Linked DNA regions of Drosophila melanogaster. The protein of the gene in region 1 interacts with the protein of each later gene in a pairwise test. Each region holds a gene or a part of one and is shown in the gene's direction. Other genes may lie near its edges.

Region 1 (2,776 bases):
TTTTTCATACATATTCAGGTTTATAGTGTTTATATGTAAGGTGTTTGTAGGTTCTTTATTGAGGCAAATATATATAAAAGAAAAAAAATAAATAAATAAGGTACATTTTGAACTTCACTATAAACAAAAGTCAACACGTCCTTAGTCTCTTAAATATGAATTCGACTTTAAAATCGAATAGTATTTGCAATCCACATCAGAAATAAAGTTCTCTTAATTCAGACTAACAAAAAAGATTGATGTTCTTATATATGCATTCACATAAGTTCGACATGGAAGAAAAAATAATCGGAAAATTGCCAAAGCTTCTTCCTTTTCAAAAAGTGTTCTGCATTTGTGTGGGTATAAACGTGTCCTTGTGAGTGTCTGCACTCATGCATAGAAATAAGCCGATAAAACCCTGACAATTGTGTCATGGAGTAGCGTTTTAGTTTTGGGATTGGACTTAATGCCTCTTGACTTCAATTTGCATAGTCGGCTTAGCAACGTTCGTGCAATGATTGAATGACAAATTGATAGAATTCGGCATTTACCAGTTGACAGCTAAGGAAGAGCTTTTTCCGGTCGGAGGAAACGGAAGAAAAGTTAAACCGATGATGGAGATTTCAGTTCAAATTCTGTTTGAGCATGATTTAATTATCGTGCCGGTTAAAAAGGACTTTTCATTTGCCTACAACAATGTTCACAACGAGTTGCGCCTTTTTAATTATAAAAATCAAAATTCATGAAAAGCTCTTAGAATATAGAGATATGATCTTTTAGTGTTTAAATCTCTTGAATGCGAGTATAACATAATATATATATAAATAGGCTTTTCATCATCACATATAGATGATTTAATCCTTCTTCTCCAACAAAATTTTAAGCCATTCCCAACAAAGTTGTTAAATTGTTAACAAAGCGAACATTTTCACTCAAAAAACGCCCCTATCGCATTGACTCTGACCTAGACCGCAAGCCGTTTAGATCCCGCAGGACTTCCCATTAATCCAATTAGGGCTGAACATATTTGCTTCTCATTAAAAATGAAATCCTTTGCTTTGGACCGGAATCAAGAGCTTTGACCAATTACCAAGCGTTTTTTCATTTACGTTCGCACATTCGAAATAAAAAATTAACCAGGAAGGTCGCAGATAAAGGCATTGACAGAGCAGCTTAGAAATCTCTTTGTCAGCAACTTAAATGAAAATTAAGACATCTGCTTTCATTTAGCTTAAGTGCTTATCTTGCGAAGGACGCAAAGGCAAAGGACACGTTTGCCCACAGGACAATCAATTATGAATGCAACACCGAGCACCATCAGCTTGGCAAAATAGTCTGTAATAAAAGTTAGGTTCATGAGGAGTGCGATGCTTTTGGGCGGCTAATGATGATAATTATATGTTTTAAGTGACATTGATTTGTCGCCTTCAGGATGGGCCGGGAAATTCCCATGATGTTTAATTCATTAGCCAGCTAATCGGCTTACTCTGATAATTAATATAATTGATGTCAGTCATCTTATTGTAGCGCCACCCAAGCAGGCTACTCATTCCCAGTTGCCTCTGTGTCATTTCTATGGATCTAAAATAGGTTTCCCAGTACTATTGACGCCCTGAAAGTAATCAGATATTCACACATAAAATAAATTCAAATAAAATCTGTATATTTTGTACGCTCACAATGAACATGAGGGGAATGGCCAAGCGTTCTATTTGGCTGCAATGTCTTCGGGAAAATGCCACCAATATGCGCCTGGAGCACGAGGATCTGGGACGTCGCATTGCTGTTTCTTTGGCCAGTTCCCAGAAAGCTCTAGTTGATATCGAAAACTTGAATCAAGAGCTGTTAAAAATGAAGGACACAATCCATAATGCCATTTCCAATGTTATGGGCTACGAAAAGAAGTGTTGTGAATTGCTCCTGGAAATTTTGATTAAAATAGTTGAGAACAACGACCTGGATGCCGAACTAAATCCCAAAATGATCTCCAAGGCGTTTCTCGACTTGGATCCGAGTTCCGACGAGACAGAAGTTCTGAATGACCGTAGTCTTGCAGCGTCTGATTTTAATCAGCAATATCCAAAAGATGTGCCGGATTCTATTGATATAAACATAACAGAAGACCAGTAACCATTTTAAATAGGATCCAAGACCGCACCAATTCGATTACTAACGTCTTAATTTAATGCGTTGTCAATTCCACCTCACACATTTAAAAGGAATAATAAGGTGGTCAGGGCTACAAATGTTTTATATTTTTTATCGATTCAATTAAATTTGCATGGTGAAATGACAAAACCCATTGTCTCTTTCTTCAGTTTATAGTTGTGGGAAAGTTTCTAAGACGTTCGAAATGTTAAAACCCTTGAAACGAAAAAACTTAGGATGACCATAAAAATACAAAATTATGAACAGAAAGAAAAGAGAAAAGCACGCCAACATCCGCACAAATTGTCCTGCAGAAAAGTCAAGACAAAATCACGTATACGCACTGTGACAACCCACAGCCTGGGTTAAAGACAATCCCAACTGGTAATCCAAGTCGTGTGCGTAGCCAGCATCCATGTTCCTAAACAATTTGTCGGCGATTTGTCGGCAAACTTGAGCCATATACGCCACACATACGCACCGAGTGAGCCATATTGCACATACGCCCCGTGTGACCCACAGAGGAATACAAAGAGTAACGAGGTTAAGTGACCCAACCAGCAAAACAACCTGTTGACTCAGGCTCTCTGCTCTCTCACTCAAAGCAAACTCACTCATCGGTGGGTTTGTTTTGCTCCGCTCTTTC
Region 2 (9,246 bases), on another chromosome or scaffold:
TCCTCCCGTCGCCACGCCAATGTCCTCTGGCAACACTACAAATAGTTGGGTGAGTGGAAAGTAGCAGAAGCGACCAGACCAAGTCGCCGCGGGGCAAAGCAAATATACTACCAACAAATACCAGCCAGCAAAAGCCAACAGCCGACACTTGGCCAGGACTTAGTACTACTGGTGCACAAGGGGAAAATGTATTATACTACTTTTTGGAAAGGAAACAAGAAAAATAACATTGCTAAATAAATAATAAATAATGAACATTAAACAATGGCTGTACATGTACAAAAACCAATAATTGTGTTTACTTTCAATGAACCTTTAGTTTTAGGAATGACCCATATACGATTTCAAAAACTTACCACAGACTTGTTAATACAAAGTATCTTTTGGATACAAATGCATCTCAGCAGTACAAAAGTATCTTTCAGCTAATAAGTTACATAACTTTCGCTCAGTGTACCTACTCCTTTTGCTTCTGTTACTACTTTTGATTTTGCTGGTGGTGCTGCTTGTATGGTTGTTGCTGCCCTGCAGCGACCGCAACGCCTCCTGCCGCAACTTTTGCTGCCACACTATAAATATAACATTAATTTTTATGTTTTCATATTTAGCAACGCTTCGCTGGGCAGACAAACACACACACACATAGTCGAATACCCCGAAGCAGTAGCGCCCATAAAGATATGGCCATTGAATGACGTTTATGAGCGATAACGCTGACGTCGCCGCTGCGCAACACTCACTGTTAAGCGGTTAGCAGTGGCTTAACAGCGCTTTTCCAGCAGCATCCACAACTGTTTCGTTTGGTGGGAAAACCTCTGCTAATGCGCCGCGGTCGCTGCGACTGCGACGCCGGCTGTGGCAGAGGCTGCTGCGTCGGCGACTTCTATTGTCATTTGGCACATGTGAAATTTACCGTTACTTCTTCGCTCATTCATTCGCTGTTTACATTCGGATTCGAAGACTTTTTCCAATCGCGCGCGACTTTCGAAAATATATTCCATTTGAATTTTCGATAACATCCGCGCCACTGTTACTTCCATACGATCATAGAAAAATATATTTGCTTGTTAAAATTTTCACAAAGTATTTAAAAAGTGAGAATATATGTAAAAATGTTGAAAAACTATTTCTAAAATTCTTATCTAAGAAAAAAAGCATGTAAAAAGAAACGCGTGGAAAACTTTTCGTTTCTACCTAATGCGTTTGACGTTTTTTTAATCAAACTCACTGCACTATGTTAATTAGCCAAATATGGTAATAGGTAATTAAAGCAACCCCCTATGGGGTGATGTGATTGGAAATGGTAAAGAGACAGACACTTCATATCCACTACACAAAAAAAACCAACGACGAACTTTCAGAACCGCGTCGATAGTCGAGTGGATCGGAACCAACAAAGTGTTAAGAAATAAAATAATGAAGATACAATGCATAATATGAACTGTGAAGTGCAAGGACCACACAAAGTGTTCATAACGCAAACAAAATAATAATCAGTGTATATCAGTGCAAACAATACTAACGAATTCCCTGGAAAATCGCAGCAAAGTTCAATTAGACCTACCACAAATGAGGTGTAGACGCCACCGAGTTGAGATCTTCAGACATTGTCTATACGTAGACCAAATCGAGACTTTTGCCATAACAACAGCAAACATTGGGTCATGTAATTCCCAACTGCTCGTATAATGCCCTGGTGTTGAAAGTGTAGAAAGGGCGTATGGAATTTGGGCTTAATTTGATAAAGACTTAAGTCAGAATTTCCGCTTTGGAATTACTCGATCAATGCACTTAAAATATTAATTTAGTTCAAGTGGAACTACAGTCTTACCTAATTATCATGAATTTTCAATAAATACGACAACTTTTATGATCGTTTATTTCTAAAACTAATTAGTTTTTTATGTTGCGATGGTTATTAATATTTCTGCTCGCTTAATTCGATTTTTTTAAAATATTTCTTATATTTAAATTATATAGCCAAGGGACTCCTGTTTCGGTATCCGAAAATAGCGATTACAGTCAGGCCACTTAAAGATTAAAGAACACTGATCATTATCTGGCCAAGCGATAGTTGATAGATGGGCTGGCCCTTCACGCCTGCCAAAACCACAATAGACACATATGTATGTATTGGTGTATATATATATGTACATATGTTTTCCTAAACTCACACTCGACAAAACTTGAACACACGGCACGGGGCTGCAGGGCGATAAAATGCAGTGTCAATTGAAGTGCTTGATTAGGCGATTTGCGAGCGATTCGCCAGCGATTTCCAACGCCTGCAATTAGAGACGGCGGCGCACTGCAAAATATACAGAATGGTTGGCAGGGGCGTTGGTTTGGTGGGGGTTTTCCGACGGCTCTGTCATTCACAAGCATCGCGGGGTGGTGCTTGAAAAATGATTTACACGCGCAAATCATAAATTATGCCCATTTCAAGTGGACCGTTACGCCGGAGAATCCATGACAAATGCAGATGACGCCCAAGCACCGATGACGATGGTGATTGCAATGCAATCTAATGGCTGATATGATGGTGATTGTGATTGCGGGTTTGATTGAGATTTCCATTGGTACTGGGATGCTGCTAGTGCCGATAATTGTTTTGAAGATGACGCATTTTAAATGACTGACCCTAACCGAACCCATTGTCCGCTGGCTGCGATTTTTCACCGCCTCTTATCATCGACGTCAGTCAACGCAACTCTAACCAAGCCAAAAGCCAATGAAATCAAATCCACGACACTCCAGTTCAATTTCGAATTTCACACCACTTTCAATCGGACCCACACCTGGTTTGATTGAAAGCGGCGACACTTTCAATGCTAATGAGCTGCGATTCCGTTTACCAATCGCCGAAAGGCATTTCAGTTCGCATCGGTCTTCGCTGGGCATCACACCGTAAAACCTTCCGGGTCCCAAAAAAAAATCAAAAGAATTAAGTATATTCAAAATACCTATTTGATACCTGGATATAGTTTCGGTGGGCCCATGCAGAACGTCACGACTGTCGTACGATTATCGGCACAATTCTCACGTCCGGTTGTCCAGCTTAATTAAAAAATATCTTTGTTTTTCGCACTGATAAACGCGGTGGCAACGCAAAAAGGAAGTCTAGATACATACAGTCTGAAAAACGTATTTTCGTACAGTACGATGTTTAAAAGTGATCTCTGTGTGCTGATTGTGATCTCCTTGGCGTTTTCCTTACATTCAGGTTGGTACTGTAGAAAATAGGATTTTTTCCGAGGTCTGAAACTGCTCTTAATTCGGAGCCCTTAACCACTTATTTTTAATTAGACTTTAATATCAGATTGAATAATTGGCTGACCAATTACATGTACATCTAAGTACACTTTGTGCGATTACCCTATATAACCTTTGTTGGTTCGCAAACATCATTCTCAAGTTAGCACTTGAGTCCTTCTTTTTCTTTCTCAGGGGATATTTGCCCAACTTGAGTATAAAATAACAAAACGTATTTTTAAATTAAAGTGGATTCTTGGCATTACGACAAGATAATTATCACTACTTATTCAATATATTTCCACGGAATTCTGTCTAGTTGTGAAATCAGTCGCAATATTCCGAAAGTAGTATGATCCCTTATCATAAAAAATACTTTAATTTCTAAGGCGTAGGTTTATAACTTAAGAAATGATTGATCGATTCTTAATAGCTGGGATTCGTTAGCATGTTGCTTTTGTTTTTTAAATAAATTATCTCAGTTGAAGAAGCATTTAAAATTCTTGTAGTTTTTAAACAATGCTTCTGTAATAGTTGTATCTATAGATCGCCCAACGATTCCTTGCCCAATCTATCCATTCACATCAACGTACGCTCCATTGATCACTGATCAACTGGTTTGCCTTAAGAGCACCTTGTACGTTAGTAATCTTTTGGGGAGCTAAGAGTGGAATACAGCATCGATTAAATTCAGAGAGTGCTCCGATCTGCCAGATCACTCTTTATGTATCTCTTCGACGGGGTCTGGTCAGTTTCTTGTCAGTTTTGATAAGGCCACCTTAAGACGGTGCAAAAACAAGCACAATCGCAAACGACAGTTACTCTCGGCTCTCGAATTAAAATCGCTGGCGATTCGCTTAAATTTGCAGGCCAATTCTCTAAGCGAATTCAGTTGAAAAAGGCGCGTTGTGCGAAACGGGCATCACAGTTTTTTGCGGTTTATTTTCAACTTAAAAACCAAATAAAAAACACAAAAGAAACAAACAAAGCGAAATAAAAACAAACCTCATGTAATTCAAACATTCTACAGATTTAAATGCAATGATCTGTTTCTGAAATAAATTTGGAAAGACGCGATTAGCACGTGCCGCACATTCGCAGACACCTTGAAAATACCGCAAAAATAAATCAAAATAAAAGGCAAAACTGATAAGAGTTTATTTATCCGGGCGATTTGACGCGTGCTAGCTACAAATATCGGCAACAACAATATTTAATTAATTTATTTGCGCGATCGGAGGGGGCGTGGCCGTCCGCTCAACTAAATTTTAAATTATACTTCGGCTTTATTAATTGCCAACGTCAACAGAAACGTTTTTGTTTCTCTATAAAAATTAAGGGAAAACTTGTTTTTCTTGCTAATATACAATTATTATCAAATATTTTACTTATCGTTTATAATTTCCATATTTTACTCAAAATAAATGTTATTTCTCGTTAAGTACATATATAATTATTTTCAAAGTTTAATATATAAATGAATTTTCTGTGTAATTTTATGCGTTGCTTTTTTTCTCTCTTCGCATTTTTCGGTGATTTTGTTGTTGTCCGATATTTTTGCTTAAATTTTTTTTTTTCGGCCTTTTCGGTTTTTGTATTTTTTTTTAGCTACGTCGCGTTTTTGTGTGTCGCACGATTTTCAACCAGTTTCTTCAGTCTTCTCATCTCGAAATAAGAAATGTGAAGAGAGACGAAAGTAAAAGAGAATTGGCCGGATCGTGTGTTTATTTTATTTTTTGGCTGGCAAGCGATTCTTCCAATGTTTTTGCGTTAATGCTTGCGTTTATTTTTACGTTGACGCTGGTTCTTTTGGCCATTTCTCTGATTAGATAATCTCTGGCGAAGATCTCACGCTTCCTGCTTAGATAATCTATTCAACCAGGGTCACCAGAAATCACCCCACTTAATTTTCCCCTATCGAATACAGTGTCTATACAAACCTTGTAAGATCGAAGTGATAAAAGTGTGAAAAAAGCATTAAACAGACAGCATAAATTAAAGCAAAAGAAGAGTGAAGGCAAGCAAAATACCGTACCATGGCCATAGAGTCACGCTCTACGAGCACTGCAAGTGAAACCACAAAAACCGCCATAAAATCAACCACAAGCTCAAAATCTCCAGTAACATTCGGTAATCTCGGCGAGAAAAGACGCGCCGAACAGCTGTTCCGCTGCGCATGCGCCAACTTCAATCTCCTGCTCCTGACTTTAATGCTCGGATTCGGCAAATGCTGCACTGCCACGCCCACGCCGCTGAACACGCCCTCAACGAACACGCCCACCTCGGCAGTTAGCCCACATAATCCACAAACGCTGGACGAGAGCGGATCGCTGAGCAAGGTGATCGATGGCAAAGCCTTCATCAACATGGGATTCAAGTTCCTCAACGTTTCCGGAAAGATTGGCACACCCCTCGGCATAGGTGAGAAATGCATTGGCTGATTGAAAAAACCGGCGAAAATAGCGAAAAACCAGAAAAAAAGATCGCACAAGGGGGGGCACAAAGTGCGATGTTTGTTTATAGCCTAGCTTGTGCTAATTTTAGACCACAGATGTCGTCGAGGTTGAAGTCGAAAATGAAGTTTGGATACCCTGGCTTGGGGTATATATAAAATGATTCATTTAATCTTTTCAACTTGATGCCTATTTACAAATATGTAAAATGAAAAAAAATTTGTATTAATAACTGCGTTGTAGAACAAAGTAAAGTACTTAGCTTGAGCTGATAACTTAAAATTAAAGCGCGTGCAATCGAATTACAATTTAATCGTTAAAGAATTATCAACCAATGCTAAGAAGCTTTTCATTAAACTTTATTAAGCTGATAGTGTTTGAGTATTTAGTTATTAAATTATCCCCAAGCCATTGAGCAATGTAAACGATTATTTCAAAATATTACATTATCTTCGCAACTCCAAGCAATCCTCTTTGAATGGAAAGTAAGCAGTTTTGACTTATATGAGTCAATAATAACATTTAAGATATATGGCCTTTCCATTATACTGCTTAATTTATAATCATCACAATCTTGGTCACAAGGGTATCACCTGCATGTCGAGTCATTCAAATGGCTTTGCTCACTTCACACTTCGTGCACTTAAAATGGGCTCAGTTAAAAAGATACAGATACAAGCACTAATGCAGTTGCAGATACAGATACAAAAGTGCACCTTCCACTTGTTGCACACACACAGACGGTATGCGGACCTACTGTTACCGTGGTATCGAAATAGCCGAGAATTTTTTATCCACTTCCGCATTGATTTCCGCCTGGCTGACCATCGAGAATCTGTATCTTCTAATGGCTAAGCGATAGGAAAAGCGTTTGGCGTCTATCTGTGACGTTATTTTGTGGCGCGGGGCATTCCAATCATAAATCTAACTTTAAATCTAGCCACCTGTTTTGGCCAATATGGATTTACGTTTAGTGCTAGCCCCGAACTGGGGATTATCTTATCGGTCAATTTTACGATTTGTTTTTATGCATTTTTCGACCGCCGGGATTTCGCGACTTGAAGATAAGTGGACAATAAAGGGCAGTCAGACAATAGAAATTTCCTTCTATAAATCAAGAATTAATGGATTGATAGTGCAAGGAGCTTTGAATTGGTGCCATAAGTCATTCAAATGATCTTGAAAACATATAGATAAAAGAATATGAAGTGTGAAAACTACGATTGTTATAAATTAATATTTAATTTTTAAGACGTATTAGAGCAGTTATCCTAACCAAAATAATTTATTTTTATTGTTCACACATTTTGGTTTGAAACTATTTTTAAATAGCTAAATTTTTTAAGCAGTTCGCACTTTTGAAAATCAATCAACATATTGAGTGCCAAAAAATAGTCTTAAGGCTAAATCTGCCACATTTACTTGCATTTTTGTACTTTGCTCTTGGGAATCTTGGACTTTGCTCTATATATTATAAATTGTTGACAAAAAAAAACACACATTTTCTTAAACATCTCACAAAAAAACAAGGCGCATTTCAGAGATATTTGTATCAGAAATTGACGTAGTTCAGAAAATCGGTGCGCCATCCTACTGCGATGCCTAATTTAAATTTAAATATAATTTTTTTTTTTTTGGCTTTTCAGTATGCAGTGTACTAGGAAAATTCACATAAATATAGACCGAGTCGAGCCCCCAATTCTCAGTCGATTTGCGTTGTAATGCTGCCCATCAAGGGGCATTATCTCTTTGATATTCTCTTTTTCCCTGCTGACTTATTGTTAATTCCATTTGATTTTTCACGCTTGAAAGTTGCTGTCAGATAAATTAACATATGCTTGATATGATATATGTACATATGTATGTTTGTTTGTGCATATGTATATGTTCGCATCTATATGCGATGTGGCAAGGTCGCCGAAGAGAGGCAGAAGTTGATTCAATTTTTATTCGTACGCCCCATTTCGATTCAGTTTTTAATTTATTCGCTGTGCCAACAGATTTCTCTAGCATATAGAACTAGCTGGTGCCAGAACCGATGGCAAACAAACAATAACAAATTAATAGTGGGCGTGCTCATCTTACGTAGAGAGAATGTTGATGCAGTTTAATTGTTTTGTTTGCTTACTGTAAACATGTTTTGATTGATTCAACTATTCTTGGGAAATTGTTGATGCATCAAATCATTCTCTATACGGGCCGCATCCCCCAGGAATCACGTGTTTTGTCATTCCATGTATAACATTAAATTCATTCAGGCAATTATCAATTATCAGGTAATCCATTAACCTTGATTTTGACGCAATCGGGGCGCTGAGTTTATCAAAGGCTGTGCTCCCAGTTGAATTAATATTAATTAGTGTTAAATCGGGGAAAAAGAAAATAATGAACTGATTTCGTTTTTTTCCCAGCAATTAACACCTTGCTCAACCAATATAGTCATATCAGTTTTTCCCACAGTTATGATTACTTCTTAGTCTAATATGACCATGTGATAAGGGCTTATCAGCAATTTTTTGGCACGCTGTGTCTATTGCTTTTTATTTTTGTTTTTGTTATATACTAAAAAATAATCGTATGATGATGACAACTTGCAGTTTCTGATTTTCGAGCGGCGAAGTGAAGTTTATTGGGTTAAGCCAACCGGATTGTGTGTGGACTTGTTTTCGCCTCTACGATTAACAAAATCATTAGCTATGCTAAGCAGTTTGCCTATCGATATGGTTTATTTATTCATAGTCTCGTATTGTGTGTGAAGTTTGGCCGAAGTTGGCGGCAGACAGGCTGTTGTTGCCCATAATGGTGATATTGATCTGGTTTTTCGATCTGTGGGGTGTGTCCGCCTCATTACGGAAACTCGGTAATCAATAACCACCGACTGGTTCAATTTAGTCAAACTCAATAGGTTTAGATTGTGACAAGAAAGCAAAGGAACTTAATTGATAGGTGGCAACCGGCTGGAAAATCTATTAGTGGGTTAATTGATGTGCAAACTGACGGTTTAAATCACTTTTCAAGGATGTTTTCTGAATTCATCTTGAGTTTTCTAGCAAAGTTTAGCAAAATTCTTCCAAGAAAAACCCTTATCAATCTCAAGCTATGCTAATTTATTTAAAGGCGCGTTCAGGGTCACAATTTATAAGTACTTATTTCTGTTTGCCTATTTCTACTCGTAGAACCTCCATATTATTATTTTTTCATTATCCTATTCAAAATCCTTCTGTGAGCCGCAAGCTAATATTTATTTTTGTACTTTTTCATTCAAACACCCGCCGCATAAGGCAAAGGAACTCATTCATCGTCATGCTTGACGTCATTTGGAATTATTTCAACGAAATTCCCCCATCTGCCCCATAAATACATATATGCATGCATTTGCTCGAATTATAATTTGCCATTTTGTTGACTGTCATCATGTATAATTGAAAACAATTCCCGACCAGCCAGCGCGGCGACATGAAATCGAATTGATTTGACCTTATTGATTGACGGCTGCAAATCGGAGATATCCCATTGTTTATTTTGCCACACGCACGGCTCC
Region 3 (9,679 bases), on another chromosome or scaffold:
GGATGCGGAAGAAGCCACGCCACCTAACTACGATCCGGAGACGCAGCGTTTGATCCAGCAGGCCAATGAGGCGCGAAATGCTCTCGAGGAAGTGGAGCGCAGCCTGCGCGAGATTCAGCAGGAGGTTAACGAGATCGACGACCAGAACAACAAGGGCTACGGCCTGACCGAGGAGTGGGCCGTGCACGATGGCCAGTGCTACAATTTCGAAGATCGGGAGTATGTGTACACCCTTTGTCCCTTCGATCGGGCCTCCCAGAAGTCGAGGAGCGGTGGGCCTGAAACCACGCTGGGTCGCTGGGACAAATGGAGTGGAGAGCCAAAGCAATATTCCCAACAAAAGTACACCAATGGTGCTGCCTGCTGGAATGGTCCAAACCGTTCGGCCATCATCAACATTAGTTGTGCCCTGGAACCCAAAATCACTGCCGTCAGCGAGCCCAATCGCTGTGAATACTACTTTGAATTCGAAACTCCCGCCGCCTGCGACAGCGAAGCTTTCCAGTCCGAATCGGAGAATCTGCACGACGAACTCTGAAATGTTCAACAATCGACGATGAGGATGAGCCGCAGAGAAATGTGAATGCTTGGCATGCGTAGACCAGAGATTTGGGGATTGTATTTTAGTTTTAAAGGAGAATATCAATTTTGTCGAGATCATTCCCAAACTGCAGCAGGAAAACCATCAAGAATTGTAGCTAATTAACTCAGTATATGCATTTAAGCAAAAAGTACATCAAGTTTCATTCTGAATAAAGTGTAAACACCTAGTATTTTTAAAACAGATAACATCACTGAATGAAAATGTTGATTTAAAGTCGGTTTCCTTGAGCTCAAACATACAAATATTTTACTTTCGTGATACTTGAGCACAGACGATTTCAAGGTATAGGGAAAAGTATATTATAATTGAGAAACTATATGAAGAAATTTAATTGAATGTACACATTTTAGGCAGCAAGAATTTTTCATTTTAAATAAAGTGTCAATAGTTTGCATATTTGATATTGTTGCCAAAACGGAGGACTCGGAACTTTGTTCATCTTTGAGATCACCCTTCGCAGGATATGAAATAAATTCCCGGAATAGTACAATGGTGAGTTGAGATTTTTAAAAACTCATTCTGTTCTCAATAAAGTATGTATGTATAAACATTTAGTAAATATTAAAAATATGCATATTACAAGGTAGACTAACTTTAGGCCTCGGTGACAGCCTGTTTAATGTCCTCCAAATAGCCATCGACCTGGTGCTCCAGTGCGAGAATGTGTCCCGTGTTACAGTTCTCCGCGCCCACAAAGGTCAGGATGAGCGGCAGCTTGTTCATCTGGACCACCTGGTAATTGGAGTACATGGAGATGATGGTCTTGTTTCTGCCCAATCCCAGTTTGCTGGCCTGATCGCAGGCGGTGGTGAATGTGGGTATGAACGAGGGCATCAGGGCGAAGTCCACGTTCTTCTCCTGGCTAACCCGCAGGAGGGGCACTCCGTCGCGATCCGTAATCTGAATAACGTACAGCCCGCTGACCCTTTTGTGTAAATCGGGGAATGGGGGAAAAATTATAAGTTAATCATATTGGGAACAGCCTTTCCTGTGGAATATTTACTTTTGCAGCAGGCCGTCTAAATACTTCTTGATGTCGTCCGACATGGAAAATTTGTTAAAGCGAAAGACTAGAGAAGGTATGGCAATAATAATACGTTTTTCTCCGCATCCAATTATTTACACAAAACAAAGTGAGCAACAGCTGCCTCAAGTTATCGATAAGTTCATGTGGCAGGGGCGTAGTCGGCGGTCGAAGTAAAATATTTTCAGCAAGCGGAAAAAGGATGCGGCTAGTTTTTAACATTATTATTTAAATATTATATTATTAAGCTATCACGCAATACTTTATATAGTTTTTTAGAAACCCCTTCAAAAAATTCAATCCCCGCTCAACTGGAAATTTATCGATTACAGCCTGTTTTTGGTTGCGTGGAAAAACAGTTTGTTTGCAATACGTAAAATTGCTGCAAGTAATGGAAATAAAAGTGTAATACCAGCTTATAATTCGTATTACCATAGATTAAAACCTTCTGCATCATGGTGACTGGAGACCCGGTAGCGACAAAGACCCCAAACGCAGCGGATTCGGATGATAATGACTTTACCGCATCCATGTCGCACCTGACCATTGGCCAGCAAATCCAGGAGCTGTCCAAGCAACTGCAGAACACGAAGGAGGAGCTGCACCAGCAGGTGCGCGACAAGCACGGAGCTCTACTGCAGCAGGCCACCCACGCTGGGCGCTTCGATGCGGCTTTAAACGCGCTCGCCGAGGATGTGCAGCGGGTCAGGGAAACTGGGCACCGGCTGAAGAACCAGGTGGACACGCAGTACCAGCAGGTGGAGAACCAAACGCAAGTGCTAGGGCGTCTGCACGATGTCAGTCACCTACTCCGCTCGGCTGGAACATTGCTGAGCCTCACGGCCAAACTAAAAGCGACCAAGGATGTCCTACGCCTGGCCGAAATCCACTTTGAGTTGGGCCAACTCATCGAAGATAAGGAGCTAAAGGACATTGATTTTATCCAGCAGGAGCGAGCTTATGTGATCAGCTCTGCTCAGAAGATAAGGAACCTCACGCAGATGCAGTTGGTCACTGGGCTCCAGGAGCGCAATGAAAACCAAGTGGTTAATGCCTTGAAGGTGGATATAACAAACATTTTTCTAGCATATACCTAAGAGTTCTTATTCCTTAGATCTTTATGAATTTCAATACGCTGGAAAAATCGCTGGATAACCTATTGGCCACCTTTATTGCCGACATGGAGCAATCTCTGAAAGAGTGCTTTGCTGGCAACGATATATCTGTGCTGAACAAGTCCCCGACGCACAATGTGAGCAAACCTGCTCCCTCGAGGGGACCAGGAAAAACTCCCCAGTTGACAACCACTCAAAACTTCCGTGCCAAGTTCTGGAAGTCTCTTCATTGGCTGCTCTATGATGAACTTTTTGAGACTTGCACGCAAATCAAGCTGCTGAAAACGGCTCTCGAGCAGATCAACCAGTTTGGCTATACATCAGAATCATCGGATCAGTGCATTCCGCAGCGTTTTTGGCAGCAGGTGCAGCAGCTCCTGCGAAAATCCTTTGACGAATGCCCCCAGCATGTTACGCAGACCCTTCAGGAGGGGCTCTCAAAGCTCCTGACCTCCGCTCGTGGCTTGGAGCAGCGTCTGCATGGCGAGTTTCAGTTTGACAACGAACTATTTGCTCCCCTGGAAGTGGGTTACGTTAGCAAGTGTGCTGCCAACTTTAAGGCATGTCTGGCGGGAGTCGATTTGCCCGGCAACGAAACGGTGGACAACTTTATTCGTGTGGCATCAACGGAGCTCAGTGCTGCTTTGATCGATTCCCGTCTCACGAATGCCATAGCAAATGTATTTGCGGCCTGTGGAAAAGAGTTGTGCACAAAACTAGAGGCTCAAATCAAGCTGGGAGCTGATTCCAAGCAGGTCGTGGATCTGCCCAATCTGCAGCAGCAGCAAAACACCCAGCTGGCGAATGTTCTGTTCTACTATAAGGATTCAGTGCGTCGCATGCTCAGTGATCTTCATGTGCACTTTGAAAAGACACCGGGAACAGCTAGGGAGATTATATCCCGATCCTTGGAACAGGCTGATTTACTGATCGGCACCATTCTACAGCAGATAATGGAGTCGATTATCACGACCATTAGCATCATTGTATTGAGTATGCACAGGGAGCCGGGATTGAATTCGGAGAGGATGTCTACCACAGGTCCGTCGATGTACATGAAGGAACTGCAGGTGGGTGGGAATTTGAATGTAATACTTGGCTAGTCATATGTCTCAATCAAACTATTAGGAGTTCGTCAACCGATCCTGGTCGCATCACATCGCCCTGTTCGATGACAAGCAGATGACGAAAAAGTGCGGACACGAGTTGGCCAAACGTTGCATTGAGCTCTTCCTGCACAATGTGTGCATTCTGCGACCTTTAAGCTCCTGCGGAAGGCAGCGTTTGAAGCAAGACTGTCAACACATGGAACAGGCGTTGAAACCTCTTTGCCCAAATCTCGCCGAGCTGGGAAAGCCGTCGCGTCTGCTAAGAGCCATGTCCTTGCTGATCGTCCAAACGGCCGAGGAGCTGGTCAAGCAGACAATCGGCGAGGACTCTCTAGTGCCCAGTTACATAGTGCTGTTGCTGCTCTTCGGACACGCTGGAGCAGATCTGCAGTCGCCACACACGACGGCCAACTGGTCCAATGAGCGGCTGATCGAATGGCTGGATGGGCACACGGCTGAACGGGAGAAACTAGAGCTGATCTCGGGGGCACTGCAACGGTATCGGGACAATGCCAGGCGAAAGAACATTCAGCAGTACGACGAAGTTTACCCCATGATGGTAGATTATTTTGAACAGGCCTTAAAGGCACTTCCATAAATGTCTAATGTATTATGTATCTAGAACTATGTATGTATGTATGTAAGAGCACGAATATGTTTGGAATAAACATATGCATGGCATCCTTCTATTAAATCATTGTACTCAGTTCCTTCCGCTAAATGAAGCTAATGAGTTTCTTAGAATAACTTATTGAGTGGAATAATGATAGCAGTGAGAACTTGAGGCTAGAGGCTTAAAATTGAAATTATGCGAGGTTGTGTCATATTGTCATTTGATTAAATTAATTTTGGTAGGCAGTTTTGGCTGGCGCTATATGAATAAATGGAATTCCATGGTTAATATAAATGATACTGGTACTTACTCAAAAGACACATTTTGGAAGATGTTTCGTATTAAAAGAATAATTCTTACTTATTCGTCATTAACATTAAGAGGATTTCAAATAAAAATATATCACTACATCGTTTGGAAATAGTTCCTCCGGAATATCGGTATTTATATATTTTTCACATTTATATCGATTTGAAATAGGCATTCAAAACAACGGTAGTAATAACTTTTTTAAACTATCGATGCGTATTCAGAATAACGGTACTAATAACTTGTTCTAACTATCGATGTGTATTCTGAATAACGGTAGTACAAATTTTTCCCAACGGTATATCGATATCCATCTGGGTTTTTACTGTCTCGAGATCTGGTCACTCCCCCGTGCTCACCATTTTGTTTGCAACGTGAAAAACTCTCATTTGAGAAACGCTGTCATCCAATTTAACTGCAACGAAAACTGTGTAAAGTAAACTATAGACGCTTGAAACCTCTGCAAATATAGTGCGTACCACTGGCCAAGAAGATGGACAACATAGAGCGACTGTACAAATGCTACGAGATTCTGTCCGAGGCGGGCGATAAAATATCCGAAGTATGCCGCCATTGCAAAACGTGCCGAAAAAAAAACGGTATATGATACATGGTCTAATATATATATGCATGTTTTTTTCGAATTGCAGCATGTGGATGAATATAAAGAGATACTCAAGGCCGTGAAGGGCACGTCGAAGGAGAAGCGCCTGGCATCGCAGTTCATTGGTAACTTCTTCAAACACTTTCCGGATTTGGCCGACACAGCCATAGACGCGCAGTTTGATTTGTGCGAGGATGACGACACACAGGTGAGTGGGTGCCATAAAGTTACCCAGCTGATACAATAGGCTCGGAATTTTTGGCCTGTATGCAGCTGATGTGTGTAAATAAATCGAAATCCCCTGTAATCCTGCTCCGTATCTTGACAGCTTAAGATATCCCACATATTCCACAAACTAAATATCTTTATCATCCTTGTAGATCCGCCGCCAGGCCATCAAAGATCTGCCGAAACTGTGCCAGGGAAACGCAGATGCTACCATCCGAGTGGGTGATACTCTGGCCCAGCTGTTAATCCTGGACGATCCCACAGAACTCCAGCAGGTCAACAACTCACTGCTGGCCATCATAAAATTGGACACCAAGAGCTCCATCGCCGGATTGTTTCAGCAAATCTCCACTGGGGATGAAACGACAAGGGAGCGCTGCCTCAAGTTCATTGCCACCAAGCTGCTGACCATGGGTCCCACAGTTATTACCAAGGAAATCGAGGACTATATCGTGGAGGAGATCAAAAAGGCTTTGCAGGATGTCACTGCCGATGAGTTTCATCTGTGCATGACAATTCTGGGAGCCACCAAACTGGGAAGCACCATCACGGGACACGCCGAGCTCGTCAAGCTGGCCACGGAGCAGGCGGAGCTAAATAACACAGACGCGGACATCATAGCCGTCGACGACGAGGTGGTGGAGCGATTCATTCAGTGCGCCTCTGCTGCGGCTCCTTACTTTTCGGTAAGTTTCCAATAGCTGCACATGAAATCGAACCCCTGGCGAGCATTTAAATCGAATCTCTTGCCATTCCTATAGAAAACCATCAAATCCACGGCCTTCGTGGCTCACGTTTGCGATAAACTGTTGCCCATCAAGACCTGGAACATGATCGCCACTGCAGTTTCGCAAGATCAAATCCAACTTAGATTACTAAAGGTATTCGCCGAGATGATAACCAACACAGACAAGCTGGACAATGCCAGCGAACGGATTAATGCAGTCTACAATGTATTGCTGGTAAGTGTACTTGGTACATTCGAAATTGAGCGAATAACATGTAAACAATTTCCAGGAATACATGCCTTTGCCAAAGCTGAGTGACGAGGATCTGGGAGATACACCGCCCTCGTTTCAGTTTTCGCACGCCGAGTGCTTACTGTACGCATTGCACACTCTTGGAAAAAATCATCCAAATAGTTTAAGTTTCGTCGAGGATGCAGAGAAACTAAAAGACTTTCGAGCTAGATTGCAATATCTTGCAAGGGGAACACAGGGGTAGGTTCTTGCAAAAATTTTATTCTGTTTACATAATTTATTTTATAATACTTGCCTTGTAGTTATATTAAGAAACTGGAGGAGTCGCTCAAAGGCAAGACGGGAGAGGAGCTCAAAACGGAGGAGAACCAACTGAAGCAGACGGCACTGAAGACGACATCAAACATCAACATTCTGATCCGGGATCTATTTCATTCACCGCCCATATTCAAACATGACATTGTGCTCTCCTGGATTGTGCCAAAAAATGTAAGCACACAAGTTATCTCTTACAGCTGATATATTTATAAACAATGCAATATTCTTGTGCGTTCAGAACAAGCTGGGCAAGCGTCATGCACCCATCACTTTTGGGGAGAAAGCCGCTGCTAACGGCAAGGATAAGGATCAGGAGCCAGAGAAGAAATCGCGGCCATCCAACGATCAGAAGTTTTACTCGCCGCCATCTGGAAAATACTCCAACAAGGTCAACCAGAGCTACGGAAACAACAATCGCACGAGACAACGTGGCGGCGGCGGCGGTGGCGGCAGCGGTGGAGGCTACAGAAACAGGCGATTCAACAAGTACTAAGTAAAGAATCAATCGTGAGGCAGAAGAGCAGCAAAGAACACTTCACTTGAATGGTTTGTCCCTAGTCCGTAGACATACAAAAAAAAAAAAAACAAAAACAAGATATTGGATGCGAGCAGAATAAACACAACTGTTGCGATGCTGCAGCCAAGCAATTTTAAAGGAAACAAAACGAAAGTGGTGAGTATTCCGTGCAATTTTCATTTAACTTTCTCCCCTTTGTCTCCTTTCAGCGCAACATATTTTCATGGAAATTAAATGCAACATTTTTACATCCATTTTACTCATACACTCACGCATTGCTTTTATTATTTTCGTTATAACATTTGTTTTCGCTAAAGTACTTGTGCAATTTTCCAAAACACGCCACGCCTTCTTTTCATACATTTCCCAAAAGAAAGGCGCTGGCATTGTTTGAAATTTATATCACTCCTGTTTTTACCTTCAATTCTGTCAAACGCATAAATATAAGATTATACCAATAACCAAGTGAACGAATATCAATATAAAACCTACTTTCAAGTTGACCGCTTTGAAGATAATGATTTTCAAGCGACAAACTGTTTGCGACAGATCGGCATTTGTTTTAAACCCATTAGTTTTTATTTGACATGTAATATCAAATTAACAATTGTACCATTTAGAGATGCAAATCAGCAAAAAAAAAACCCCTAGCATACATTTCTTGAATTCAATAAAAGCAACATTAAATTACATGCACTGTGTGATATACTTGTTTAATTTTGTTAACGACGGGCAACTAGAAAAATATATGAGGCATTATAATATATATATTTAATATTCATTGAAAATTCGATTGGAACAGCGGCAATTTGCACGGTCATTTATTTATTTCCATTGGATAAAAATGTATATGTATGTATGTATGTATGCGTAATAGAAGCCATTTAAACATTATAAATACATTTATAGTTTCAGCTTAACAACTTAATCTGTGTGCCGCCGATCCAGGCAGGGATCGGGGATCGGGATTCTATCCACTTCTAGGTGCTCGGTGGTGGCTGATTGCCCGGCTGCTGTTCATTGCCAGGATTTGCGTTCGAATTGGGAAAGCCAGTCAATTGGCTGGTCATGTTATAGATCATTTGCACCATGTCATTGGGCAGGGTCGGGGCATTGCCGCCGCCGAACTGCTGGCGAATGGTGTTCATGATCATTGGATTCTGAAGCATCGACAGCAGCTGCTCCACGTCGATCTCGGCGTTGTTGAACAAATTCCTAACCATTGGCTGGGACAGCATGTTGATTAGGTCTTCCCTTAATCGCCCCGTTTGGGGCGGCTGGTTCCTGGCGTTTCTGGCCGCTTCCAGGTTGCTCTTGTACACCTCGTTGTCCGGTTCCAGCTCGATGGCCTTGGCGTAGGCCTGTTCCGCCTTCTCGAAATTGCCCATGTTGGAGTACGCCACGCCCAGGCGGCAGTACGCCTTGCTGTAGTTGTTGTTGTACACCAGGGCGGACTTGCAATCGGTTACGGCGCGTTCGTTCTCACCCAGCCGGATGTGGGCCGCAGCCCGATTGCAGTAGAAGATCGGATTCTTGGGATCGAAGGCGATGGCACGATTGTACTGCAGCAGTGCTTCATTGTACTTGTTCTCCTTCATCAGCCGGTTGCCCTCGTTCTTGATGGATTCGGCCAGGGCCAGGGATTCCGGATTGCGTTCTGTATACAGCGACTGGAAGAGCTCGAACATGTCAATGTTATTGGGAACGGCGGCGGCGGCGGCGCCGATACCAGCACTTCCGCTGGCCACCGCATCATCGTCCGGTGCGCTCGCAGTGCTGCTGCTCTGTGTGGTGGCCTGCTCCTCACCAGCCGCAGCCGGCGCTGCCTCCACATCATCGCCCAAGTCAAAGGCCGCCTGCAGGCACTGGATCGCCACCTCGATGCTTTCGGTCTGGTCCGGCGACATCACGTCCCCCTGCTTCTTCAGGTAGTCAATGAAGCTACGCACGAAACTCTGCTGCACTGCGTCCGGCATTTTGGTTATGCTTTAGATTTCTGTTCGCTTAATTTCGATCGACAGACAAGTTGAAAAGTAAATGTGATTAGGCGAAATGTGAATATAAAATCGAGTATCGATGTGCTACATGGCCCGATAACTTTTGAGACATATATCGAACATTCTGATAGTATGGGAAATGCTGACGCTGTTTACAAACTTTGGTTTCAGCTTAAATTATATTTATATTATATATTTTTATATAAAAATAAATCTGTTGCTTCAAGCATTTTAAATAAAATCATACCCTTAGTAGTGGAA
Region 4 (7,717 bases), on another chromosome or scaffold:
CAGCTGCTGAATCCATTTTCCCAGGACGGACGCGCCGCCTCGCCGAAACCCACTTTCTCGAAGGATCAGTATGGAAAACCACTGGCCGGCAGCCTTACAGAGATGCGTGGCCAGAAGGCCAACATCCACGTGATGAAGGAGATGCTGGAGCTCTGCCAGATCATCAATTCGGAGGGCTACGACGTCAAGGACGAGCCCACTATGCGTGTGATCCCCTTCGGCGAACTTTTTAATGTGAGTGTCCTGTTTACAGCTGGTATATTTTTCGAAAAGCCCTCTAAACTGGTCACTTCCACTCTACAGATCTATAACTACATATCCGACAAGGTGGTGGGCATCCTGCTGCGGGCCCGCAAACACAAGTTGGTAGACTTCGAGGGCGAGATGTTGTACCAGCGGAGGGACGATGACGTTCCCGTCTTTCTGCTGAAGCCCATCAAGGAAATACGCAGTGAGATGGAGGCCAAGATTGAAGACATCAAGAGGGCGGCTAGTCCAGCGCCTCCGCAGTCCACCTCGGTGCTGATGGATCGCAGTGCTCACGAACAAAAACTGAAGTCGAGGACTCCCTCGCCGGCTGTGGGCAAGTCCGCCAAGTCGAAGTCAGCGTCGCCGGCACCCAAGGCTCCTGTACCTGTTCCTGCGCCTGCTGCAGAAGTCACGCCTGTGGCTGGGCCCACAACTTCTGCAGAACCTGCTCCTGTGGCAGAGTCCACTATGGCAGCAGTTCCAGCTCCGTCTACAGAGCCCACACCGGCAACAGCTCCTGCTTCGAGTACCGTTGAGATCGAGCCAGCCAAGCCAGAGGTGACCGAACAGGCGCCCGTGGCTGTGATAGTCACAGAAGCACCATCCACAGAAGAAACCACACCAACCACCAGCGAACCGCAGGCGGAGGAAGCACCCGCTGCAGTTGCACCGGCAGGACCTGCTGATGACTTACCCACAATTGTGATTGAAGCCACCGCCGAGTTTGTACGCACCGTCAGCGTGGAGCAGCTGGCGCCCAGTCCCGGAACGGCCAGCGAGTCCTCGCCAGACCAGTCCCAATCCCAACCAGAGTCGACGCCCGCTTAAGGCGGAACAGGGAGCTTGTTAGCTGGGAAGGAAGGAAGGAACATCCCCTTAAATCGTTTAAAAGGAACTCTCGCAACTACTAAAGCGGCAGCTTTAAATTGCAGTAGTTTAGTTTACGGCGTACTTAGTTTAATTTACAATTAGAGCAACACAACACTGAAGACAGAATCGAGAGTAACTTTTTATTTATTATTATTACTTGTATATTATTAATGGACGACCAAAGGAGCCAGTTTCCTCAATTTGTTAACCATTACTCTATGGAAATGAACTACGGTTTCCCACTCACAAAAGTTGGGAACGTGCAAGGCAATAAAATACTAATAAAATAAATACACGTACATAGACACAATATAACCAAGTCCTGTTTTTCTAGTTTCAAAACGATTGGAAGTGCTGGTTTCATAACTAACTAAATGACTCATTGCCTAGGCAGTTTTATGTGCTCTTTCTCGTAGTTGTTCTCTGCTTTTAATCTTTAATTAAAAATTCGGCCGTTACTATATCAACTTTTCTTCGCGATAGTTATCGATAAGTATATCAATTGCAGGGCAGCAAAGCAAAGTTAAGAGGACGAGGCGTGGGTATCGATTAACGATACTTCGTAATTTCAAGCAGCTGATATCGATTGGACGACAGGGCTGGACCTCACAAATAAATATAAAACCAAAATATTCAGTGGTTTCTCAATTTGAAGAATAATACAAACGGAAAATGTCTGCCCTGCGCCGTGATGTGTCGCCTTTAATCCAGCGCATTCGGGCCTTCCTCCTGGGTGTGAGTATCCGACATTTGGACAGCGACCGCAGAGAACTCGGTTCTCAGTTATATAAGACGGAAAATGTGAATCTCTGATTAATCTGGACGCCAATTACAGCGGGAGCACAACCTGGCCCTGCGCTTCGAGGACGGACTGGCCGATCGCACCCAGCCACAGCCGGAAATCCCTGACGGTCCATCGCATCTACTCTCGGCCAACTACTACTGCCAGCGGGATGGACGTCGCGAGGTTCTGCCGCCCATCGACCTGGTGGAGCAGCAGAAGCAGCTGGCGGCAGAGGGGGAAGCGGCGAAGGCCCCGTCTTCCAAGCTGCCCACTCCCGGCAAGGTCTATGCCTGGGATTAATGGGCCGCATCACCGCGGGAATCGCCTTTTTTTGAGTTGTAGTACGAGCCGGTTAAAGCTAATATAGAATCAAATTGAAGCAGAAATGCGTGCATTGGTATGTTCAGTGATGAAGGGCCAAGTGAAAGGCCCCTTACCAGCCCACAATGTTTCGAAACCCCACTTCCGGGAAAAATCACCATCCATTTTTTTTTGAGTTGTAGTACGAGCCGGTTAAAGCTAATATAGAATCAAATTGAAGCAGGAATGCGGGCATTGGTATGTCCAGTTATGGGGGGCCAAGTGAGAACCCCTTACCAGTCCACATTATTTCCAAATCACACTCGCCGGAAAAAACACCATCCATCACTGGATATCATTATGTACAAGTATTTTATTCAAATATTTACAGAGCCCATCACTTACAACTAGTTAAAAAAAAAAAATCACAATCCAGGAACACCTAATAGACGCGCGGCTTGAGGCCACAATTGATTCCGGTGGTCGAGCGCAGGATAACGTTCAGTACGGGCTGGACTTCTTCGCCCAGAGGCAGCAACTCAAAGTGTCTCACCATTTTGCTGATGGTGCTCTTCATCTCGAGCATTGCGAACTTTTGGCCGATGCAGTTTCTCGGACCCGCTGAGAAGGGAGTATAGGCGAATGGACTGATCTCGCCCTTGCGCTCCATGCTGAAACGATCAGGGATGAACTTCTCCGGATCAGGGAAGTAGTCTGGATCGCGCTGAGCATGGTAAATAAGAATGATCACATTCGAGTCGGCGGGTATCAATTTGCCGTCGAGTACGGTGTCCTGGGAAATGTAGCGTCCAATGATCGGCACCGAGGGAAACAGGCGCAGAGACTCCTTTATCACGCACTCTAAGTACTTGAGCTCGCCGAGTAGCTTCATAGTAACTGGAGCCGACTTGTCATCACCGATAACATCTCTGACCTCCTGGAAGACGCGAGCCTGAACCTCAGGATGTCGAGCCAGCAAATAACAGGTAAAAGCAATGCTACTGGTCGTAGTGTCATGACCCTCGAACATGAAGGTGTCTACCTCCTCGCGGATGTCGTCGTTGCTCAACGGAGCCCCATCGATGGTGGACTTCAGCAGCACATCAAGAAGAGCCATACGACGCTTCTGGCCCACATCGTTCAAGAGGGCAGCGTCGGCATCTCCTCCATCGGCAATGGCTTTTTGTAGGAGCTCGCGTCGCTCAGTGATTACCGAGTTGGTAAAGTCGTGCATGTTCTTCACGGCATCATTCAGCTTGTCTAGCAATTTGGGATAGAAGAGCTTCATGGTGAAATCCAAGCGCTGCAAGGGATTCATGAAGCGTTCGGCTAACATTGCAGAGGCACTAAAAAGATGTGCTCATATGGAATAAAGTCCGCCGATAGTTAATATAGGTTATAATACTTACGTTGTGACCGACTGAACGTAGGTAAATTGCGGCTGGAGCTGAGCATTAATTTTTACACCCATGGCCGTTTCCGCAATGATATCCATGGCACACAAGCAAGCCACCGGGAACATGTTTATCACCGTCTTGCCGTCTGCCCGATCGTAAAGCTTCTGGACCATAGTTGCGCTCTGTTGGTCAAAGACCTCCACAAAGTCCTCGAGGATCTTAAAGTGGAATGCGGGTGTAATGATCTTCCTGCGGCGGAACCACTTCTTTCCTTGGCTAATGAGCAGTCCATCGCCGAGCCAATTTACCAGCAGACTATAAAGATTGTTTTTTTGAATGGTCTGTTGGCTGCTCATGATCGCCTCGATCATTTTGGAATCAGCGGTCATGAAGCCACTTTCGCCCAACATCTGCGTTTTTATGTTTTTACCAAACTCAGCAATCAGTCGGAACTGCATATCAAAGATAGCTGCAAGAGAAGAGGGTTGATATTTGTTTAGCCATCTTGTGATTTTAAAAACAACGATTTTAAGATCAAACTGTTTCCAAAACTGAACTGTGAAAGAACGCAGTCTTGGGAATATGTTCTGTTGTAACTGTGTGATTAGCGTACATGACTTACTCTTGGGTGACTCGTTAATCAACAAGGGAGCGTTTCCAACCAGAGGATAGCTCTTGGGTCCTCGTATCCCAGCCTCGGCGTACATCTTGTTGTGCCGCCTCTTTCGCATATAATCCCACGCCAAAGCGGTCGCCAGGAGAATCGCAAAGAGCTCTAGATACATGTTTTTTGGGTTTCGGTTTTCCGGGTTGGTAATGGGATGGATCTATTAACACTGGCACCGTTGGCCATCGACTGCTTGTTTTTCCTCGTCGGTGGGGCTGTTTTGTAGCCGGCGTGGTTTGCGATAAGGCGTCCACAATCAGTGGAATGAAGCCGAAAACCAATGCGAAGGCCAAAAACTATGACCGAGGTCAAAACCAGGCGGTGTGTCGTCCGTGGGCTCTCCTTGCCTCCAACTGCCATGTCAGTTAGATTTCTAAGCAGGTTATGTGATCTGCATGAGGATCTTGGAGATCCGTTGGCGCACATTCTGCGATGAACGAAAACGGAAAAAGTGCCTCTTCATCGTGACCCAAGGCTTTGGGCCGATCGGAAGTTCAGATTGATAAGGCCCACACAGGTGGGCGGTTGCGGGATTTAGGCGGGGCCTGGGAAAGTTCGCATGGCGCTATCTGTATATTGATACATGAACCACTCTGGTTCTGCTGATTAGATCGAACGCTTTTGTTGGACTTTTGGAACTAAAAAAGGAAATATTTAAATAGATAATAAGCCCACAAATTTAATAGACTCTGGAAATTATGCTGAGATAATTGTTTATTATTATTGATTTCAAATTGATCTTCTAAATTCGATTCTACTTACAAGCTGAAAACTATGCAGCACAATATGCACAGCATTAAACTGCCGTTGATCCCAGCTCTCTTAAATCTACAAAGTTAGATGGAAAACTCAGAGCATCGCTGGGAAGCTGTTCCATCCATAACAGGTCAAACTAGAAAAATCTATATAGTGTACCTCTCGAACCGACAAGCGGGTACAAATGTGATTGATATTAAACTTGTACACATAATATCTGAGTTATTATATCAAATCGATGGTTTCATTGATGACTTCAACTAACTATTTATTCAAATTGTTAACAGATATTTTGAGTTGATATCTTTATGGCTTGTCCACTGCAGTATGAGATCCAATGTTTACCTCCAATCTAAGGGTAAGCATGACGAGTGAAATTGATAAGGGCTCTCAACTGCCTGGTAATCATTACTAAGCAAATTCTTAAACTTGCACTCTTTTTAATAGTATATAAGTGGGGGCAATGAATCTGGGAACGTGAATCACAAATTTACGATATCTTCGATAGGCTAGTTCACCTTCACCTTCACCTTTGACACTGTTCGCTTAGTGATAAGAGGATATGGATTTAGCTACTGTTATTCAGTAAATAAACGGGCATATGTACAATTCATGATGATAAATTGGAAATAGCAGGGTATATCACTTAAATACCCCTTTCAAATGTTCTGATAGAACTTGTTTACAAGTTCCCAATTTACCATATAATGAAAACGGGCTAGCTCCAATTCGTTATACCACCCACGATGGTTAGGCATTAGCTTAAATTACCCAACTAAGCATTACCTCTCAACAAAATGATTGTGCGTCATCGTGACAAGGCTATAAACTCCATTCGTAAATGGTTCGTCCGATTTTCTTACCTCCAGCTGCCCGCTGCAGAATGCAGATTACCTGAGGCGGTTTAGTTCTCTTAGACAGCAGACTCTCTTACAGCTTTCAGCTTTCAGCTAGCGTATTAGTATTCAGATTACGAAGCTTATATTATTTATAGTATCGTTCAGTAGAACGGCGTTTCTCGTTCGACGCACAATGCTGGGTGTTGTTGGGGTGCTCCTCCTGGTGGCGTTCGCCACACTGCTGCTGTGGGATTTCCTCTGGCGCAGGCGGGGCAATGGTATATTGCCGGGTCCGCGGCCACTTCCCTTCCTGGGCAACCTGCTCATGTATCGCGGTCTAGATCCTGAACGTGAGTTTGAGTTCCAGCCCATCGATACAGTTTGTTATCTGGCCAAATCTATTGCAATCCATAATCATTCCCAATAATAATCTGCAGAAATAATGGACTTTGTCAAGAAGAACCAGCGCAAGTACGGTCGCCTTTACAGGGTGTGGATTCTCCACCAGTTGGCCGTCTTCTCCACGGATCCCCGAGACATTGAGTTCGTCTTGAGCAGCCAGCAGCATATAACCAAGAATAATCTGTACAAGCTACTTAACTGCTGGCTGGGCGATGGATTGCTGATGAGCACGGGCAGGAAGTGGCATGGACGCAGAAAGATCATCACGCCCACCTTCCACTTCAAGATTTTGGAACAGTTCGTCGAGATATTCGACCAACAAAGCGCCGTAATGGTGGAGCAGCTTCAGTCGCGCGCCGACGGCATGACTCCCATTAACATCTTTCCGGTGATTTGTCTCACTGCCCTGGATATAATCGCAGGTGAGTTTGCCATTAGTCTTATAAATATTTATAACAGCTTAATACTCGCCGTTTAGAAACTGCAATGGGCACAAAAATCAATGCCCAAAAAAATCCCAATCTGCCCTATGTCCAGGCTGTCAATGAGTGAGTGTAATGATAGGTCGAATCCCCACAGTTCTGATGAATTCTTCCTTGTGACAGTGTCACCAACATCTTGATTAAACGTTTTATCCACGCTTGGCAGCGGGTGGACTGGATTTTCCGGCTAACGCAGCCAACAGAAGCTAAACGCCAGGACAAAGCTATCAAGGTAATGCACGACTTTACCGAGAACATTATCCGTGAGCGGCGTGAAACGCTGGTTAACAACTCGAAGGAAACAACCCCAGAAGAGGAAGTTAATTTCTTGGGCCAAAAGCGACGGATGGCTCTGCTGGATGTGCTGCTGCAGTCCACAATCGATGGCGCCCCGTTGAGCGATGAGGATATCCGCGAAGAGGTTGACACGTTTATGTTCGAGGGCCATGACACGACTACCTCGGCGATTTCATTCTGTTTATATGAAATCTCAAGGCATCCGGAGGTCCAACAGCGTCTGCAGCAGGAGATCCGCGACGTCCTCGGCGAGGATCGAAAGAGCCCAGTTACCCTTCGTGATCTTGGTGAGCTGAAGTTTATGGAGAACGTAATTAAGGAGTCGCTGCGCCTGCACCCGCCAGTGCCCATGATCGGTCGCTGGTTCGCCGAGGATGTGGAAATACGTAAGAAGTTCCATATGAGATTCTTCAATCTCAGGTAAACATATTGCTCTTGTCAGGTGGCAAGCATATTCCAGCAGGCACCAACTTTACGATGGGCATCTTTGTTCTTCTTCGTGATCCTGAGTACTTCGAGTCTCCCGATGAGTTCCGACCTGAAAGATTCGATGCGGATGTCCCGCAGATTCATCCGTATGCGTACATTCCTTTCTCCGCTGGACCAAGAAACTGTATCGGCCAGAAGTTTGCCATGCTGGAAATGAAGAGCACCGTCAGCAAGCTGCTCCGGCA

The links.
Region 2: the proteins of CG13476 (region 1) and LpR1 interact in a two-hybrid assay, tested with the Drosophila melanogaster proteins (one large-scale study listed by BioGRID).
Region 3: the proteins of CG13476 (region 1) and fws interact in a two-hybrid assay, tested with the Drosophila melanogaster proteins (one large-scale study listed by BioGRID).
Region 4: the proteins of CG13476 (region 1) and ND-B14.5A interact in a two-hybrid assay, tested with the Drosophila melanogaster proteins (one large-scale study listed by BioGRID).

What each region holds. Positions count from the first base shown.
Region 1 is NT_037436.4:14,703,882-14,706,657, forward strand, and holds CG13476 (uncharacterized protein), read left to right. Parts: upstream 1-1,582; 5' UTR 1,583-1,662; coding exon 1,663-2,112; 3' UTR 2,113-2,276; downstream 2,277-2,776.
Region 2 is NT_033777.3:25,755,219-25,764,464, reverse strand, and holds the start of LpR1 (lipophorin receptor 1), read left to right. Parts: upstream 1-4,142; 5' UTR 4,143-4,262; intron 4,263-5,179; 5' UTR 5,180-5,288; coding exon 5,289-5,673; intron 5,674-9,246.
Region 3 is NT_033779.5:17,473,306-17,482,984, reverse strand, and holds fws (four way stop), read left to right. Parts: upstream 1-1,955; 5' UTR 1,956-2,016; exon of another isoform or gene 2,017-2,065; 5' UTR 2,066-2,083; coding exon 2,084-2,689; intron 2,690-2,742; coding exon 2,743-3,813; intron 3,814-3,871; coding exon 3,872-4,450; 3' UTR 4,451-4,543; downstream 4,544-9,679. Other genes in the region: GCS2beta (glucosidase 2 beta subunit), read left to right, coding at 1-538; Lamtor3 (late endosomal/lysosomal adaptor, MAPK and MTOR activator 3), read right to left, coding at 1,199-1,529, 1,608-1,651; cass (cassowary), read left to right, coding at 5,268-5,336, 5,425-5,586, 5,759-6,292, 6,368-6,568, 6,624-6,826, 6,889-7,075, 7,143-7,397; Sgt (small glutamine-rich tetratricopeptide containing protein), read right to left, coding at 8,402-9,397. UniProt on the Drosophila melanogaster protein: Required for normal Golgi function and necessary during spermatogenesis. Required for cleavage furrow ingression during cytokinesis in dividing spermatocytes and for the extensive polarized cell growth that accompanies spermatid elongation.
Region 4 is NC_004354.4:2,170,852-2,178,568, forward strand, and holds ND-B14.5A (NADH dehydrogenase (ubiquinone) B14.5 A subunit), read left to right. Parts: upstream 1-1,674; 5' UTR 1,675-1,791; coding exon 1,792-1,854; intron 1,855-1,954; coding exon 1,955-2,203; 3' UTR 2,204-2,581; downstream 2,582-7,717. Other genes in the region: CG3630 (uncharacterized protein), read left to right, coding at 1-234, 304-1,077; Cyp4d14 (cytochrome P450 4d14), read right to left, coding at 2,646-3,549, 3,613-4,069, 4,214-4,385; Cyp4d2 (cytochrome P450 4d2), read left to right, coding at 6,056-6,212, 6,300-6,686, 6,743-6,812, 6,870-7,429, 7,486-7,717.